Arabidopsis thaliana: one gene and its partner. The protein of the gene in region 2 interacts with the protein of the main gene of each other region in a biochemical or structural test. Each region holds a gene or a part of one and is shown on either strand. Other genes may lie near its edges.

Region 1 (5,624 bases), on a different chromosome or scaffold from region 2:
TGCAAACAGGTCGGAACAAGAGAGAAGAGAGGAAGAGCATCTACAAAGATGTGAAGAAGGAAGAAGAGATAGAGTCTTGGTCTGAATCGAGCCATCCTTGTCACAAAACAGCTGAATCTACAAGTGGGAGATTGACGCAGAAACAGGAGCTTAACTTGAGAAAGAAGGAAGCCGATAAAACCGAAAAATCCAAGACGAGTAAGAAGAAGAAGGTGGAAACTGTTAGTAACGACTCTGAAGCCGGTACTTCATCTCTTATTCCAGAATTCAAGCTCACCATAAAGAAATCACACCTTCTGTTCTTGGTAAGATTAAGCAAGACAAGACCAGTGACACACTGTCGAAATGGCTATGTATAAAAGTGTGTATTAATCTAATGAAAATCTGTGATTCAGGGGATCCCAAAGAAATTTGTGGATATGCATATGCCAACTGAGACAACGATGTTCAAGATTCATTATCCGAGAGGAAAGAAGTCATGGGATGTTACATATGTGGTCACTGATGTACAATCAAGATTCTCTGGTGGATGGAGTCGTTTGGCCAAGGAGTTAGGTTTACTGGTCGGAGATGTTTGTACGTTCAAGCTCATCAAACCGACAGAGATGCGTGTGAAAGTCTCCAAAGAATAGACACCATGACGATGATGATATTTTAGGTGTAGTTGCAGAATTAGTGAAGAACTTCGGAACAAGATTATGGTCTGTGATTCAATGTTAGGACTAATTTTATAATTTTGTTTTTCTACTTACTACTTAGGTTTGATTTGTATCCCAATGATGAATCTGAACTCCGTTTGAGTAAAACAGATTTATTCATTTTATTAAAGATTATTGTTGTAGTGTTTACATGATGAATGTGTATAGAGCTCGCTCCGGTCTCTTCTCTTTATTGTTTGACAAAGAAAACTTAAGTTACAAATAACTCCAGCTTCTTCCTTTGGCACATTGCCTCCATCTTCATCTACAATTGCTTGCAAAGGTGATCCGTTGAATACAACAATATCATAAGCCTCTTCTGGTCACTGAGATTTCTGAGCTAAGTTTGAGATGTTTATCCAAGAATCAAGCGTCTTGATAGCTTTCCCAGACGATTGTACTTCACGTGCCACGGTTACTCCTTCAGCTAGCGTTTGAACTCGGTTGCTAACCAGAAGAGCTGCAGCTGCGTTTAGGATCTGAAACAAGATTTTGAAAAAAAAGGATGAACAAATTGCAGAAGTTCAGAGAATGTTGAATCGGCAAATCAAAACATACCAATGAATCCGCAATTGCTCCACTTTCCCCTGAAAGCACACGTCTTAGCACATCCGCATTGTAGTCTGGACCTCCACCTCGCAAATCCTCAAGAGTACAACGAGGAATACCAAAGTCCACTGTCAAAAAGAAATAAGCTTCAATTTCATTAAGCTGCATCTGCAATATTCATTTTAGAGAAGGGATAAAAAGCTAGAGGAAACATTACATGGGTCGAATGAGAATTCTTCGATCTTTTCCGGAGTTACATCATAAACTAGTCCTCCTCCTGTTTTTCGTTAAGCCATGATTGGTTAATAATTGTTCAATAATAAAAGTAATCAATTTTGGGAAGAGATAATCTTACCTAACGGACTCATTTCGTCTAGACCACATGAATGAACCACCAGTGCTCTTTTCATTCCAAATCGTTGCAGTGCCTTTGCCATCTTAACAACCTATGAAACCACACAAGCAAATGGTAAGTAAATGTCTTGTTTTTGTTGATGAACAAACTAATTTCAGCAATAAGTAAATGTACCAGATCTTTGTGGTATACACCAACGACAGCATAAGAAACTCTAGCAGGATTAAGCATAGGTCCCAATATGTTAAAAACAGTTTTAATTTTAAGCTTTTTCCGAACAGGACCAACGATCTTCATAGCTGGATGATACATTGGTGACATCATAAAACCGATCCCCCCTTCTTCAACACATCTTTTAATGCCCTCTGGTCCCAAGTCCAGAACCACTCCTAGTGCCTCTAGTACATCAGCACTTCCACAAGCAGAAGAACTTGAACGATTCCCTTGCTGCAAAATAAGTATCCATTAGTTAGACGACCAGACGAAGATCATTTAGCATTAATGCAGATAGTCAAAATTTAAATATATCGTTTCTTTTAAGGATTTTCTCATTCGTTATACCTTTGCTACTTTTGCACCACAAGCTGCAGCAAGTATTGAAGATCCAGTTGATATATTGACTGTGTTTGCTCCATCACCACCTGTTCCAACTATGTCCACAGCATCAACTAATCCTTCCACTTTCCTGGCATGCTTCATCATTGCCCTAGCTAACCCCACAATCTACCCAATATCCGAATTAAAGTGAACGTTGAGTTAACTTATTGAAGTGCAGTAATATAGGATTATGTATACTTTTTTATTATAAGCCTAGATTGACTTAATGGATACTTACCTCTTCGTATGTCTCTCCTTTAGCTCTCAGAAGAACTAGAAAGGCACTGATCAGCGCCTCGTTTGCCTCATTCAGCAAAAACTCAAGAGATGATTCAGCCTCAGTTTCAGATAGATCAACCCGATCAATCAAGGTTTCAATCAACTGAAAGAAAAACAACAGAACAGAGCAAACGCAGTATGAGAACATAGTAACCCCATGATTTAAATCTCTCTCTTCAAAGCCATTGGAAAATCACCAAAAGTAAAACTCTTTTAAAACCTATAAAGTAGTACACTTTTACTCAAGTCAATAAAACCCATCAAGCAATTAAAATGAAATTCGAAGAACACACAGGGCCAAACATGTTTAGTCAGCATGAAGCCAATAACTCAACCCAACTCAGAAATACAGATACAGATATATAAAAACCCTGAATTGTTCACAAATCAAGAGACTTAGAAACAAGGGATCATCAAACCACAAACTTATCCTGAAAATAGAAATGAAGAGTCACCTGGTTGAAAGATTTAATGGAAGAAGGGCTAGCATTTGCACAAGCAGGTGGCAGAGCTTCAGCTGCACTAAATCCACCGCTCAAACCGAGATTCTGAGAGCAAGCGAAAGAGCTGCAGCAATTCAATGGATCAAGAGCACAATCAAATGACCACAAACAATTTCAAAGGATGTGTTTTTACTCTAATAAGCAGACACCTAAACCCAAAAATCGAGGCTTTACCTGCGACTAAAGGAAGATTGAGCATCCCCACGAATTGGGGAAACAGCTCCGATCGATGAGAATCGTCGCCGACTCAATGTCGGAAAAATTCTAACTCCGGTCAAGTTGCTTCTTCCGCAACTACTGGACGCATCATCTACGGCGTTGAACGAAGTTAAGATCCCTGAAAGCTTGATTCCGGAAACAATGGAGCTCGTCGTCGCCACCGCAATAACCATCACTCGATTGCTCAACCAACACAGTAGAGAAAAACTTGAACGAAGGAGAGATTTCTATGATGGTTCGTTCCTTCCTCTCTAATAAAGCAAAGCGCCTTAAACCAAATCTTAATTAACTTTTAACTTTTGGTCTTTTTGCTTATAAAGGGTTTCCAGTTTAGTACTCAGTATTTTATTTTTTTCTTGAAAAGTGTTTATTTTATTTTATTTTGGGTTTCATATGAATATATTTGTTGATTACTGAATGACTTAATGCTGCTTTGACTAATGGACCTTTGAAATTTCCAAATTGAGTTTGGTTGGTGGTAGTTGGTAATGCTTGGGCAGTGGATAACTCCTTTTGTTAGTCACCAACAACGATTTCCTTGTGTGCTTATTTCCGCACATTTACCACTCTGCTCAAAAAGTAGGTTCATCAATTTTGTCATACCAAACACTTCTTTGTTTTAGACATGGTCAAACACAGCACCTATAATAGGAAATCATATAAAAATCCATTTAGTGGCCCATTATAACCCAATAAGGCCCAACAAGGTTAAACGACCCAAACTATATATACATCCCCTCCAAAAAAAAAAACAATATTACATGAGCCGATCAGATAATGATGGTAGTCGCCGGAAGAAATTTAACACCGGAGAAGGTTTCCGATCACGGAAAATAGGATGCCGGAAGTAATAAAACCCTGACGCCATAGCCACCATCTTCGTCGGCACAAGATACAACACCAACGCCACAAAGAAACACAGCCCCACGAATATACCAGTCGCTCGTGGGTCACGCCACGTCACCAAAGCTTGCATCTTCTCCCCTTGCGCAGCCACTTCACCAAGAATCGTTTGAACTCTAGCTCCGACGTTTCGTAGCTTATCGTACCTCAACCGAACCATCTCCGGTGGTCGGTTGCTCGGTACGACGTCAAACTCCTCGTCGAGCTCGTCTCTATCAGCTGCATCAGCTAACGAGAGTCTTGGATCGAAATGTGGTAGAGCAGCACGTGACCTGAACCTATAATTCCACGCACCAATCACGAACAAGTAAAACGCTAATGTCGGTACGATAAGATCCGGGAACCAAATCAGCATCACGACAAGTGCGTGAACTAGTAAAGTTGATGTCGGATTCTTCCAGAAACGGGTGTCATCAACCCACCGCACCACGTCGACCATTCCGGCGACTACATTCACTATCCGAAGCCAATTTGCTCTGACTTTACGCATACTGAAAGTATGAGTATCGGCGTCGAGCATATACCGTACTATCTCCGGCCTTAAAGGCGGCTCAGATCGTGACAAATGTGCGGCCAAGATCTTCACTGCAGTGTTCCTCAACATATCTTCTTGAAACAAACTCAACGGTTTAATGTGATGCATCAAAGGCAATAACGGTTGAGTATACACGTGTAAGAAATCCAACGGTGGAGCTGTTCTCACGAATCTAACGGCCAATTCTATCTCTCCCAATTTTTTAACGCCGCCGTTAACTAACATCAGTAACGGATACGTATTTCTATACGCTTTACCAGTCTCCAGCGTCGATATACGTATACGTACTTTTCCAATTCTTAGATCTTGACGCGTGGCTTCTTTTCCACCGTCGACTTCGTATACTCCCCAGCTATCGAAGACTCCTATAGTCAAAACCGTACACGGATCGTATACTTTCCACGTGTACTGTTCGTTCCATTTCGGATCTAAAGAATCCGACACGGTTCGGGTACGGACCCATTTAGAACCGTATTTCGCCACCGTGTACGCGTCCGTTGATCCTTTTCCGTTAACCGTCTTCATCGGTAATAGATTTTTGCAACCGATTATACCGAGCTCGACGATTCCCACCGCTGGTTTCCATAACTGCCTCGCCGTAGGTCGGTAATCACTGCACACGTGCGCCGCCTCGTCCATCACGTGATAACCTCCGTCGAAGCAAAGCCTAATGTGAACTCTAGATCTGTTTCCTCTCTTCTCGTCGTTTGGATCTTCCAATCCTAACCATCTCGAAGCAACCAAGCGATCGTCGACGCGTCTCTCGATTGCGCTGAGTGGCACGCGAGCCATTCCGACGGTGACTGGTCCTTTCGATGTTCGATACTCCAACGTGAAAACAAGCTGATCGGAGAAAGGTTCGGCGGCTACGAAGAGTAGATCTTCGTTCCATGACGGAGCTCCGTTACGAGTAACGGCGGATTTGGTTTTCTGAACTTGGGAACCTAACTGAGCTTTTAACTGAAATGACGCTTCCTTAAACGCCG
Region 2 (6,107 bases):
TACTGTAAAAATATGCTCTATCTAACTAAAAACATCAATCTGACTCTCTCTCTATAGTCTATAATAGGTTAGTAACGATGTATAATTGACTCAAATATAAGACCGTGTCGGTAGGTGATTTGACTAAATCAATGTTCGCACAATTCTTTAATCCACAAGCAAACTTTTATAGCTTGTGACACTTACTTAATACGTTCAAATTGTAGTTCTATCTTAAAAATTTCATGAATACAAAAGTCACATAAATGAATAGAAAGGGAAAAAACTTGTATAACTATATTAACACGCTCATCTTAAAATTCGATAAAATAAAAAATTTAGCAAAGTAACTCAGAATTAAATTTATTAAATAAACATTAAAGTAAGAAATACTGTTATAAAACTATTCTCCTTATTTGGCACCACACGTTTTCAAGGTTCTAACATACAAAAGCATAATAAAACTATATGGGTTTATTGAAAAAATCTTTAAGCTCCATACTCCATGTTGAATTTCCGTAGACCCCTTTTGATGCTTCGTCTTTTTTCTTTATAGAATGTCGTTGTTGTCCCTTTGTGCCTTGATGCTTAACCATGCAACCGCGCAAGATATATATATATATATATATATCTTGCCTTCTAATTCTCTTTTCTTTTCTTTTTCTTCTAAATTTGGCCTTTTTAAATAAATCCACTTACCTACCTATGAATCCAGTATATCAACAAATCGTACGAAAATGTACCAATTAGAGATTTCAATATGATTGAAGTGCATGCAGCATGTGTATATGTTTTTATATAAAGCGAAAGAAATGCATGTGTATTTCAGTATTTGTTTAGTACAAACTACAAACTAAAAGTGAAACGAGCTAGGATACAACAAGATCTATATATGAATTTTTGAAATATTTCATGCATGCATACATTCTCCCAATATATAACGTCTAATTATTATAAAACTGTAATCAACGATGGTTTACATACTAATCATGAATTCAGTGAAAGCTTTATTAGAGAAGGAACATAGAATGATTAGTCCATGTTTGTGGAGAATGTATGTAGTATGCCTGATCATTTTCCTTGTACCTCTTCCAATAGAATGGTCCGATCCGACCCATTTACTAATCGTCATGCGGCCCATATTCATGAATGGTTATAATTTACAAGGGTCCAAGTCTCCAAGGCCAGCCACAGAAGTAGACAGACACTCTCAGAAGTCCAAGACGGACATAATTAAACAAACAATTCGATTCAACAGCCGGCCATAAATTTATGTTTGATTCAACCCATTTCGATTCTCATTACATTAATTAGCCAAGCATATGCTTTAGTAGTTTAGTCCCACTAAAATAGCCATAAGATTGGCGCGAACATTGTCATTCACAAAATACCTTAAAACACATAACACGTTCATTTTGGCCCCATTAGCACATGCTTCAACATGTAATCTCATCAAGAAATTCATGTTATCACTCAAGTTGAATGAACACTTAAAAAACCTTGTGACGACGTTATTACCAAAGCAATGGAGTTGTCACAGGCTTTCTCTACCCACGTGGAAGATAAAGACAGCTTTTGTAGTACTAGTATATTAAAAAGGACCCCACTCCAATCACAAACAGCACTGTTGTATTGTTTTTATCCGATCCCTAAAATAAAGATTCTTCTGACAAACCTATCTTCTTTAAGGGGTTATGAACTGATGATTCCCGGAGAGAGAGGGTTACCATCAATAGCCTGTTAACCGGAGAGAGGGGTTTTAGTGTTTTACCATAAATTTACAAGGGTGACCGTCAATAGCCGGTTTACCGGTTTACAACAACTGCCTCATCTCAAACCCGTTGTTATTTGTGTGGTCAATAAAAACTTTTTTAATTTATTTTAATTTACAAGAATGATTATAAAAAAAGGGGTTTCTGTTTCAATGGGGCTTTTCACGTCATCTTCCTTCTTTCTTTTCTAAAGACAACGACGGATTCTTACCGCAACACACACAAAAAAAAAATAACTCGAGAATTCTTCATTTCTTTTAAATCTTAGAATCTCGAGTTTTTGTATAAATCGATTCTAATTTTTCCTTTGTACATTGTTTTATATATACATAAAACACACAAATCGGGTATGGGGGAATTTGGGTTTTAAGATAGCGTGATCTGTAATAATAAGTGGTTCGCGATCGTGATCAAGAAACTGGTGGCTGATAGGTGAGTTTTTTCATCGCAATTGACTTGTTCACTTACCGATCTGTAAAATTCTTGGGGTTTTGGGTGGTTTTTGATCCTTTGACTCTGATCCGGTTTTCAAATTTCCATTAAATTTCTTTGGCGGGTCGAAATAATTTGTTCGAGATCTGATCAGGTTACTGTTTCTTTTCATCTTGTCTCGAATCTTATAATTGAATTTGTAAGCAGCTTCTAGCATTTGAGTCTTGTTCAATTTTACCAACGCTTTTCCATTTGCGTGATCCATTTCTTGTTTCAGTGTCTTTCTTACATCAAAGGCTCGGATTTGGTCGTGTTGATCTGATCTAAATTGGTGTTTACTGTTTATGATTCTTGTTGCTACTTTCTGATTCTTTACAGTGTTCTGTTCTGTTCTGTTTTGTTTTTGTGTTGCTAGTGATATGCATATTTGAGAGATGGTGTTCAAGAGAAAGTTAGATTGCCTTTCCGTGGGATTTGATTTTCCCAACATTCCCAGAGCTCCTCGTTCATGCAGGGTAAATTTTGATTCATCTGGATCTGTTAGCTCAATGTCATGAATTTGCCTTCTGATGAATCTTTTTTTCCAGAGGAAGGTTCTAAACAAGAGGATTGATCATGATGATGATAACACTCAGATCTGTGCAATTGACTTACTAGCTTTGGCTGGAAAGATTCTACAGGAAAGCGAGAGTTCCTCTGCGTCTTCTAATGCATTTGAAGAAATTAAGCAAGAGAAAGTAGAAAATTGCAAGACTATTAAATCTGAGTCTTCTGACCAAGGAAACTCTGTGTCAAAGCCTACTTATGATATCTCTACTGAGAAGTGTGTGGTGAACAGTTGTTTTTCATTTCCGGATAGTGACGGCGTTTTGGAGCGGACTCCGATGTCTGATTACAAGAAGATTCATGGTTTGATGGATGTAGGGTGTGAAAACAAGAATGTAAATAATGGGTTCGAGCAAGGAGAAGCAACCGATCGCGTGGGTGATGGAGGCTTAGTCACTGATACTTGCAACTTAGAGGATGCAACTGCGTTAGGTCTGCAGTTTCCGAAATCAGTCTGTGTGGGTGGTGATTTAAAATCACCATCCACCTTGGATATGACCCCTAATGGTTCCTATGCTAGACATGGGAACCATACTAACCTAGGTAGAAAAGATGATGATGAAAAATTCTATAGTTACCATAAACTTAGCAATAAATTTAAGTCGTATAGGTCTCCAACAATTCGAAGAATAAGAAAGTCCATGTCGTCCAAATACTGGAAACAAGTTCCAAAAGATTTTGGATACAGTAGAGCTGGTAAGTATAACACAGCCTGCTTCACTTATCTTTGAACACATTTCTTCTTTTTGTGATTCACCCTGTTCTTACTTTAAACATGGATGTCTAGATGTGGGTGTGAAGACTCTTTATCGCAAAAGAAAATCATGTTATGGTTACAACGCATGGCAGCGTGAGATCATTTATAAGAGAAGAAGATCACCTGACAGAAGCTCGGTCGTAACTTCTGATGGAGGACTCAGTAGTGGAAGTGTTTCCAAGTTACCCAAGAAGGGAGATACAGGTGGTTATTGTAGTCTATCTCAAAACTCTTCAGTTATCTTATCTTAGCTGTTGTGGTCCTCTCAAAAGGCTCCCATGGTACTTGACTGGATGGTAAATGATACTGAGACATTTATCCGGAGACAGGATAATGTGGTTCTCATGTATTTTTATCTCTGGTGCAGTAAAGCTAAGCATTAAGTCCTTTAGGATTCCAGAGCTTTTTATTGAAGTTCCAGAAACTGCAACAGTAGGATCACTAAAGGTATATGCCAATATGTATTTCTTCACATTTGTTTGGTTCTCTTGTGTGGACATTGAGGTGTTAACAAATTACCATTTTGCTCTTTGACCCTTTTGGTTGCAGAGGACTGTGATGGAGGCTGTCAGTGTTTTACTCAGCGGAGGAATACGTGTTGGGGTGTTAATGCATGGGAAGAAGGTTAGAGATGAAAGGAAAACTCTGTCCCAGACTGGGATCTCATGTGATGAAAATCTAGACAACCTTGGGTTCACCTTGGAGCCTAGTCCCAGCAAAGTTCCCCTACCTTTGTGTTCTGAAGATCCTGCTGTGCCAACCGACCCTACAAGTTTGTCTGAACGGTACTAAGAAATTCGCTATCATATCCTTGTGCTGCTTTAGTTGAATATCACTGGTGTTCATTCTTCTTGAAGATTCCTAAGCAAAAGCGGTTCTGAATTATCATCCCAGGTCTGCGGCGTCTCCTATGCTAGATTCTGGAATTCCACATGCAGATGACGTGATTGATTCAAGAAATATTGTGGACAGTAACCTCGAATTAGTTCCATATCAGGGTGACATATCTGTTGATGAACCTTCATCAGATTCAAAAGAGCTTGTCCCACTTCCAGAGTTGGAAGTCAAGGCGCTTGCCATAGTTCCGTTGAACCAGAAACCTAAGCGTACTGAGCTAGCCCAGAGGAGAACTAGGAGACCCTTCTCTGTGACAGAGGTAGAAGCTCTTGTACAAGCAGTTGAGGAACTCGGGACTGGAAGGTATATAACACTAGTTCTTTCATAACTCATGTAGTTTGGTCGTGGGATAATGTCAAAGCTCAAAAGCTAATGGTCGATATATCTGATCACACAGATGGCGTGATGTAAAATTGCGTGCTTTCGAGGATGCAGATCATCGGACTTACGTGGACTTGAAGGTAAACACATCAGACACAAACATGTAATCTGGAACATATCACGTCTTACAGTCAGGTTAATATCTCAAGAACATGTGAATATGCAGGACAAATGGAAGACGCTAGTTCACACAGCAAGTATATCCCCACAGCAACGAAGAGGAGAGCCGGTGCCACAAGAACTGCTAGACAGAGTCTTGAGGGCATACGGGTATTGGTCGCAGCACCAAGGAAAACATCAGGCGAGAGGAGCGTCCAAAGATCCAGACATGAACAGAGGTGGAGCTTTTGAATCAGGTGTTTCAGTGTAAAAAAGGAGGTACGCATTGGTGGGTGGGTGTACAGAAGCAAACAACACAATAAATGGACAACTCAATTTCTGCAAAGTTTAATTGTCTTTATTTCTCGTTTTTTTTTTTCTCCTACATACACTTTTTTTTTCCTTGCTTTGGCATCTGTAAATGACTCCAACTGGGATGAGATTCGTCCCTAACCAAATTTTTAGGTTCTATCTTTGTTTTTTCAACATTGATTACATTGTGTAATAATTTCGGTCCATAAAAAGGGATCTTGTAATTTTATACATTCTTTTATGTTCTATCCTTTCTGACAAGTGACAGGTCAAACCTTCTTCATTATTTCGTTCAATTTTTTTAATTTTTTTTCAATAAAACACATGAGAGATGAGAGTGATATTGTGACAGATATCTTTGACAAAATGTGAATAACCCAATTTGAAAGATAAGAAATACTGCTGCTCTGTGATTTTGGAATATTAGACACAGTTAAGTGTTTGTTATTGGTGGAAAGACTCTTAACTAAGCCAAAGTGTTCATTTCTTCACAAATTCATAAACTTCTCTAAGGTTTAGAATCATCTAACAATGTTTGTTACTTAGTTTCCTACAATGTTGAACCGTCAAGTGTAGAAACATAGTTTCAACTTCGAGTCCCAATGTGACGCCATCCTCCTCTAATTTACACCTACTTCGCAATTCTAAGACCCATATATTGCATCAAAGACGAGAGACAATTGTTGAACCTTGCATTTTGACATCCTTTACACGCTAAACTTATTTTCCATCTCCTGCAACTTGCAAAGTACAGACCTCAGATTAGCAAAATTCGAAAATACAACTATGTAAGCAAAGAGGCAAACTTCCAAAGAGCTGGGATTTTTGAGTGTACCGGGTAAATGCAAATATAAACCTTTATGACTTGAGAT

Evidence for each region. Proteins that work in one complex are often made in the same cells at the same time.
Region 1: the proteins of TRFL9 (region 2) and TRP1 form a complex in vitro, tested with the Arabidopsis thaliana proteins (one study listed by BioGRID).

The regions. Positions count from the first base shown.
Region 1 is NC_003076.8:5,955,079-5,960,702, reverse strand, and holds TRP1 (tryptophan biosynthesis 1), read right to left. Parts: upstream 3,624-5,624; 5' UTR 3,374-3,623; coding exon 3,156-3,373; intron 3,046-3,155; coding exon 2,934-3,045; intron 2,582-2,933; coding exon 2,438-2,581; intron 2,326-2,437; coding exon 2,164-2,325; intron 2,050-2,163; coding exon 1,777-2,049; intron 1,694-1,776; coding exon 1,603-1,693; intron 1,525-1,602; coding exon 1,465-1,524; intron 1,376-1,464; coding exon 1,257-1,375; intron 1,178-1,256; coding exon 1,022-1,177; 3' UTR 633-1,021; downstream 1-632. Other genes in the region: VDD (VERDANDI), read left to right, coding at 10-305, 396-632; AT5G17980 (C2 calcium/lipid-binding plant phosphoribosyltransferase family protein), read right to left, coding at 3,958-5,624.
Region 2 is NC_003074.8:3,981,359-3,987,465, reverse strand, and holds TRFL9 (TRF-like 9), read left to right. Parts: upstream 1-1,840; 5' UTR 1,841-2,183; intron 2,184-2,561; exon of another isoform or gene 2,562-2,598; 5' UTR 2,599-2,617; coding exon 2,618-2,698; intron 2,699-2,770; coding exon 2,771-3,485; intron 3,486-3,576; coding exon 3,577-3,750; intron 3,751-3,913; coding exon 3,914-3,993; intron 3,994-4,095; coding exon 4,096-4,331; intron 4,332-4,440; coding exon 4,441-4,746; intron 4,747-4,840; coding exon 4,841-4,904; intron 4,905-4,990; coding exon 4,991-5,194; 3' UTR 5,195-5,586; downstream 5,587-6,107. Other genes in the region: FDM3 (XH/XS domain-containing protein), read right to left, coding at 6,094-6,107. UniProt on the Arabidopsis thaliana protein: Binds specifically to the plant telomeric double-stranded DNA sequences. At least 2 repeats of telomeric sequences are required for binding. Induces DNA bending.